Linked DNA regions of Rattus norvegicus. The protein of the gene in region 1 binds, or shares a complex with, the protein of each later gene. Links are inferred from orthologs where the notes say so. Each region holds a gene or a part of one and is shown in the gene's direction. Other genes may lie near its edges.

The links.
Region 2: Gtf2a1 (region 1) and Polr2j share a complex: the UniProt entries of both Homo sapiens proteins name them as parts of the TBP-based Pol II pre-initiation complex. The link is inferred for Rattus norvegicus from reciprocal best matches to the Homo sapiens genes GTF2A1 and POLR2J.

What each region holds. Positions count from the first base shown.
Region 1 is NC_086024.1:116,227,953-116,231,767, reverse strand, and holds part of Gtf2a1 (transcription initiation factor IIA subunit 1), read left to right. Parts: coding exon 1-32; intron 33-282; coding exon 283-603; intron 604-3,815. UniProt on the Homo sapiens protein: TFIIA is a component of the transcription machinery of RNA polymerase II and plays an important role in transcriptional activation. TFIIA in a complex with TBP mediates transcriptional activity.
Region 2 is NC_086030.1:26,182,284-26,186,198, reverse strand, and holds the start of Polr2j (DNA-directed RNA polymerase II subunit RPB11-a), read left to right. Parts: upstream 1-997; 5' UTR 998-1,049; coding exon 1,050-1,102; intron 1,103-3,635; coding exon 3,636-3,725; intron 3,726-3,915. UniProt on the Homo sapiens protein: Core component of RNA polymerase II (Pol II), a DNA-dependent RNA polymerase which synthesizes mRNA precursors and many functional non-coding RNAs using the four ribonucleoside triphosphates as substrates.

The sequences.
Region 1 (3,815 bases):
CTGGTGGAGTACAAGCGCCTGTTATCCAGCAGGTAATGCAGTTTTACCTACCATCCCCTTGATATTCATTTTCTTTGGCTTCTGCCTCTGCTGTATGACTTTGTGTGCTTCCCCGCTCTTTTCCTGGACAGGTTAATAGGTGTACAGCAGTCAAGAACAACCTTATTCTGAGTTAAGATGATATGCCTTCAAGCACATTTCTCATGTTTAAATTATTATTAGTTTGATTTTGATTTTGGATCCCTGTAACCAGTTTGTAATAGGTGGTTTTGTTTGCCCTAGGTCCTAGCCCCACTTCCTGGAGGGATTTCACCACAGACCGGTGTCATCATCCAGCCACAGCAAATCTTATTTACAGGGAATAAGACTCAGGTCATTCCTACGACAGTGGCAGCGCCCACACCAGCACAAGCACAGATCCCTGCAGCTGGACAGCAGCAGCCACAGGCCCAGCCTGCTCAGCAGCAGGCTCCATTGGTGCTGCAAGTTGACGGAACAGGGGACACATCTTCTGAGGAAGATGAAGACGAAGAAGAAGACTATGATGATGATGAAGAGGAAGATAAAGAGAAAGATGGAGCCGAAGATGGGCAGGTGGAAGAAGTAAGTTTCTACAAAAGCCTTGAAAAGAAAAGGCGCTCACCATTCACTATTGTATTTGGTGCTAAGCAGACAAATTATACACTATTTTTTCAGAGGGAGAGAGAGGTGGGTGCTTGCACTGTTGATTGTACTATAATTCGATTATCCGTTTTTGGATCTATTGATTATTTTGGTGGCTTGTGTTCTGGAGCTCCTGCATTTCTCTTTATGGACATGAACTTGCCAACCTAACTGTATGAGTCTATCTTGCCATTTTGTCTGTAATTCGTAAACATCAGTGTGTTATCACTTCATGATAGAGCAGACTGTTAAAAATTTTCCAGTCTGAAAACCAGTCTCTCGGTTTGGTTTTAGTTTGAACTTCTGTGAGTACTTAGAAGCTTCAGTTGCTTCCGTGTGTTTACTGTTATTTATTTTTTACTATGTTGAAATGGCAGGTAGCATTATTTCCAACCGTTTCCCACAGTTTTAGTCCTTCCTTAAGTGACATTTACATGGTATTTCTTCAGATTGCTTGTGTAATAGACATGTATAGAATTTTTAAAACTCATCGTTGAGCCAGCCTGATGTGTTTATAATAATGTGTTTGTTGACGCTTTTGTTTTTTATATAGAAGTTTTTTTTATAATGGTCTATTGTTTGTTATTGTTGTTGTCATCGTGGTTTTTTTCATTTCCTTGTACATGTCTTTTGGGGCTAAGTGAGTTGATTGCTTTTGTAATTAACCAAGTACTTTGCTTTTTTTTTTAATTACTAGGAAATGTATTTTATTATTAAATGCCTTTCTGCAACTCTTAGTCACAGTATCACATTTATAGCCTGCTATTTATGAATTTTATTGAGTGGTCCTACTTTGTAAACCAGTATTGAGTTTTCATTATGGCACAGCTTGGTCATTATGTATTATCCTCTCTAACTGCCGGACCCACATGGACAGAAGTTTTAGATCAGTGTTTATGAATGCGTTTGTAATTTCTTTTCTCTCAATCTTCTCACCAGTTCTCATGTTGATAGTATCCTTATGAAAGAATTTGTAATTTTTTTAGAAACATGACATAATCTCTTCTGTGATTTTTTTTTTTTTTTTTTTTTTTTTTTTGGGTTCTTTTTTTCGGAGCTGGGGACCGAACCCAGGGCCTTGCGCTTCCTAGGCAAGTGCTCTACCACTGAGCTAAATTTTTTTTTTTTTTAATTGTTTTAAAGACAGGGTCTCATTAAGTAGCCCTGGCTGGCCTGGAGCTCAGTGCCTCCTATGTTCTAGAATCAAAGGTGTGTCCCACTGTCTGTGCCTGGCTAAATTGGGGCGGGGTGGGATGTGTTTTGCTTTTTGTTTTTGTTGTTTGTTTTTTTGAGGCAGGTTCTTTTTTTTTTTTTTTTTTTTTTTTTTTGGTTCTTTTTTTTTTCCGGAGCTGGGGACCGAACCCAGGGCCTTGTGCTTCCTAGGTAAGCGCTCTACCACTGAGCTAAATCCCCAGCCCCTTGAGGCAGGTTCTTACTATATAGCACTGGCTGTCCTAGAACTGGGTATGTAGATCTTCCTGTCTCTGCCTCCCGGGTGATGGGGTTAAAGGCTTGTGACAACCATGGATAGCATCTGGGTATTTGCTTCTTGTTGTTGTATTTACCATTGAACGACCTATCCCTCAGCTCAAGAGCATCTATGAAAGTTTCAGTCTTACAACTGTAAGCAATTCAGTTCTGCCAGCCCACCTGAATGAGCTTGGAAAAGACTCAAAGGTTTAGGTGACAATATGGTATCTTGTGATGCCATAAATTTTAACCTATGTGAGACTGAATAGGGAAATTTTCTATATTATGCTATGCTTATACTTTTGAGCCTCAGGAACTATAATAACAGATGTGGTTTTCTTTTCTTAAGCATTTTTAGTCATTAGGGAAATGGAAATCTAAACCACAATTGGGAGGTCGTCATACCTACTAGGAAAACTATCATTAAAAAAAATTATGTGTCTGGTGGTTTTGTCTGCATGTATTTCCATGTATCATGTGTATTCATTGCCTATAGAGGCAGAAGACAGGGTGTCAGATCCCTGGGATTAAAGTTAGAAATCGTTGTGAGCTGCCATGTGGGTGCTGGAATTGAACCCAGGCTCTCTGGAAAAGCAGCTAGTACTCTTAATTGCTCAGCCATTTCTCCAACCCACACTGCTGTATTTCTTTTTAAAAAGAAAGTTTATTGATGATGATGAGGATTAGGAAAAATCGGAACCCTTGTGTATTTCCAGTGTGAATAAGAACCAAAACAGCTTTCACAGAAAACAGGGCTTTGAACACAGAATTAAGCAGAGTTAGCCATGTGCTGCTAAGTTTCACTTGCAAATGAACATAGGAAAGAATTGAAAACAGGAGTTCAGACAAAACCATGTACATGAGTGCTTACAGCAATACTCTTGTCACTTTCCAAACAATACAGACATCCTGAATGTCTGTCAATAACTAGTGAATGGCAAAGAAAAAGTGGCCTATCCAGACAACAGGACAGCATTTGACCGGACTGTAAGGAAGCATGAAGTGCTGTGCGTGCTGCTACATGAGCATACACGAACACCCAAGCACAGCACAGACACCCACAAATTGTATTGCTTTATTTATGTATACAGAACAGGCACATTTATGAAGTCATAACGCGGATTGGTGGTTGCCAGGACACAAGAGGGAATAGAGAGTGATTGCTTATGTAAAGGTTAGTGGAGTGCTCTGGAGCTGTGGAGACAGGAAGTGTATGTTCTAAATGGTTTTATCGTTTTTTTCCCTAACATAGACATTTCTGTTCAAAGAGTATATTTGTCACACACCCCTATGTATGAGTGGCATACACCAAGGCTTTAATATCCTCAATTATTTTCCTTTCTACCTCTGTTTTGTCTTGTCTTTCCCCTCGTCATTTAAATCTGAGTTAAAGCTTCTGTCTTACACCACAAATGAAGTTTAACCTTATTTTATCAAACCCTTCTTTGGTTTTACTTTTGCCTCTGAGGCGGTTCATCCTCTACGTTTAAGAGTAATTTAAATCTTAATGATTTTTTTCCACCATGTCATCATGTTGATAAACAGTACTGATTGGCTTTTAGAATCTTAGTTTTTAGTACAGCCCTGAGGCCACACTTTGTTTTCTTCTTCAATGCCATTTTTTTTCCTTTTAAACTGTTGCTGGTACATAATACTATGACCTCATGAGGCCGTCATATCTT
Region 2 (3,915 bases), on another chromosome or scaffold:
GATGCCTTCCTCAGCCAAACCTGTCTAAAATCTCAAAGACATAACCAAAAGTTCGTTGTTATTATTTTTTATTTTTTCGTTGTTATTATTATGACTACGATTATTATTATGCATTGTGAGTGCATACGTGTTCAAGTGCATGCCTTGAAGGGAGGTTGGAGGAGTCTGTTCCCAACTTCCACCTCGTGGGTCCTGAGGACTGAATTTAGGTAATCAGGCTTGGTCACACTCTCCCTTGCTCACTGGACTGTCTTGCTGGCCCCTCCTAGAGGTTTGTTTCCGCGGTAATTCTAAATTTCAAGATGAACCATCACGAAGGCTGGAGAAATGGCTCGGCAGTTAAGAGCCTTACTGTTTCTGCAGGGGACTGGAGTTCGATTCCCAGCACCCACTTGGTGGTGGTGGGGCTCACAACCACCTGTAACTCATGCTCCAGTGGACCCCACTCTCTTATGGTCTCCAAAGGCTAGACCTACATATACGTGCCCACACAGACATGCAAATAAAAATCTTTAAAAACAGGAAAAATAAAAAAGACTGCCACAGAGACTGCTGAAAAATGGCGAGGTGCAAAGCTTTCATCGTGTTTTTAGTTTATCTGTGTGCTCAAGAGAGGATGCACTGGCATCCTCAAACTCCTCCCCAACCTTTACACACCTTCCTGTTCCCCTGGTCCTCATCTAGAAGGCTTCATAAGGACGCTAGTGTCGGCCCACCCGGGGGTCCTGCAGCGGCAGCCACTGGGACTCCTATTCCCATTCAGTCGGTGAAACGGAGACAGTAACAAGTGGTATAAGTCCCGGCGCTGGAGTATGCGCCAAGACACTCAGACAGGGCTTCTAGACTGACGCATGCCCACAGCTCGCAGTCTCCTGGGCCTTGCCCGCGCCTGCGTAAGGTCATCCGGCCCGCCAGGGGGCGCAGGGCCAGGTGCTTACTCTGAATGGCTGAGGCTGAGGCTGAGTAACCCGGAAGTGGTCGCGCTCCGGGGTTCTGTGGGCGGAAGGCGGCTGCGGGTTGGTGTCTGGGAGTGAGAGCGCCTTGCTAGGATGAACGCCCCTCCGGCCTTCGAGTCGTTCTTGCTCTTCGAGGGCGAGAAGAAGTAAGTGGAGACCGGCTGAGGCGGGGACGGTTGTATAGGAGCCTGCCGGCCGTCAGCTTCAGCAAAGCGCCGAGTTGCTCCTGCCTGGGGAAACCGAGGCGGGCTTTGCTTTGAGCATTCTGTTCTGCTCAGTGCGTGTCTGCCCAACTTCAGGCAGTGGTGCGAAGCATTTGCGAATGCATGCATTTTTTGCAGTGGGAAACTGAGGCTTTGGGACATTGACTTGCTCCAGACACTTGGCTCATGATGGCAGCTGTGAAAGGACAAAGACACAGTTCCTTACACTCCTCATGTCTGTATCAGCCAATCAATAAATAATGAAACTCCCCAAGGAGATTTTCCGAGTTTGTCTGAACAGTGTACAGTGTACACTGCAGACCTGTAACTGACACTTTGTATTCCCTAAAGACTTTTTTTTTTTAAATTATTTTATCTGAGTACACTGTTGCTCTCTTCAGACACACCAGAAGAGGGCACAGATCCCATTACAGATGATTGTGAGCCACCCTGTGGTTGCTGGGAATTGAACTCAGGACCCATGGAAGAGCAGTCAGTGCTCTTAACCACTGAGCCATCTCTCCTGCCCCCTAAGAGATTTCTATGCAGGGGTTTTTGTTTTACATTTGATAGCTACTTCAGCCTTCTTGAGAGCTGAGAGCCCTGTTGTTATCCCATCGGCATGAGCATTTGGCCATGTCTGGAAGCGGTTCTGGTTGTCCTGAGTGGGTTGCTATTGGCAGCCGGCGGGTAGAGGCAACAGATGCTGTTAGCGACCCTAGATGTAGTAGACAGCCTCTCAGAAAAGGAGGATTGGGTCCAAAATGCCTGTGACCCGGGCTGGCAGGATGGCTAGGGTACAGCGCCCACAGGCAAACCTGATGACCTGATGACCCTGGGACCACTATGGTACAAGGAGAGAGCTGACGATCACAGGCTGTCCTCTTATAGGAGCGTGGACAAAGGAAAGAAATATTTGTGTACTGAGTTTGAAAAATTCTGCTTTAGAAAAAAGCAGTAATCCTTAGCTGAGTGGTGAATTTTTTTTTTCTTTTTTTCGGAGCTGGGGACCGAACCCAGGACCTTGCGCTTGCTAGGCAAGTGCTCTACCGCTGAGCTAAATCCCCAACCCCTGAGTGGTGAATTTTAACCCACTTTTAATCCCAGTACTTGGGAGACAGAGGCAAGAGGATCGAGGCCAGCCTGGTCTACAGATCAAAGTTACAGGACAGTCAGAGCCACACAGAGAAATGCCGTCTCAAAAAAAAAAAAACCAACAAAAACAAAACCTGCTTAAGTAACTGCTCCCTGGTGTATAGATAGGAGGCCAGCACAGGGCAGATGTGTTTTCTTGTTTGCTTTTGTCATTTGGGGATTGAACATAGGGTCTGCCCCATGCTAGGTTGGTGCTCTATGCTAAGCTATATTCCAGCTCCACCCCCTACCCCCAACCCCATTTTACAGTTTTTGATCGGTTCGGGAGATGGCTCAGTGGGTAAAACATTTACTGAGGACTTGTGTGTAGATCCCCAGAAGTCGTATAAAAACTGCTGAGTTCGGGGTTGGGGATTTAGCTCAGTGGTAGAGCGCTTACCTAGGAAGCGCAAGGCCCTGGGTTCGGTCCCCAGCTCCGAAAAAAAGAACCAAACAAAAAACAAACAAAAAAAAAAAACTGCTGAGTTCTGCTTCCAGTGTTCCTCCAAGGACATGGGAAGTGGTTACAGGAGGGTCAGCTAGCATGGTTTATCCCCATGGCAAATGAGACCCTAGCCTAAGCAAAGAGAAAAGCCAGGACGACGGCTGAGGTTTTTCTTTATCCTCCTGCCTTAGCCTCCCAGGTTGCTGGATTACTGGTCTTATCTACCAGGCAGGCCAACTTTGTTTGAATGTTGGGAATGGTAGAGCTGAGAGACCCAGAGGCTTATACATGGGAGGAAAATGGTCGGCTATTGAACCATGCCAGAGCTCTTGCAGGGTCCTTAATGGGTGAGCAGACTGAAAACGGCTTCCAAGAGCTAGACCTATAGCTCAGTGGTTGAGGGCTCTGCCTATCATGCTCAAAACCCAAGGTTCAATTCCCAGTAGCACTGGGTCTAGTGGAGCTTGGACTTGCAGAATGATGGATGTGGGCCTGCCTTGATTGTTAGGGGTTAAGTGTCTCCTGACACCCCCTGCCCCCAAGTCAGGGTTCTCTGTGTAGCCCTGGCTGTCCTGGAACTCACTCTGTAGACCAGGCTGGCCTCTGACTCAGAGACCCACCTGCCTCTGCCTCCTAGACGCTGGGATCAAAGGTGGGCACCACCACTGCCAGCTGGTTCTTGTCTTCTTAGTAAGAACTTAGTCAAGAGCTAGTTTAAGGGAACTGTTCGTCAGCGCATACGTTGGGAAGGGCCAGGTACCTTAATTTCTGAGGTAGTGGGAACAGCCCAACTGCAGGTTCAAGAATGTCTGAGCACAAATGGGGACATTGTGATGCTCAGGGCCAGTATCCCAAGGCTGGATGTGGGCTTGAGCTGTTGCCTCTGTCTCTTTCCAGAATCACCATTAACAAGGACACCAAGGTGCCCAACGCTTGCTTGTTCACCATCAACAAAGAAGACCACACTCTGGGGAACATCATTAAATCGTAAGTCTCCCCCCACACTGGGTGAGTACCACACTCTGCCAGTACCACCAGGGCTCTGTAGGCTGAGCACATGTCCTGCAAATGTCTTCCACTCTCCTCTGTGCTCCAGTAAATCAACCTGGCCTCACAGGTCTGTCCACAGAAGGCTGTTCCTGTGTTGGCTTCTGACACAGGGGCTTGTGTAGTGTAG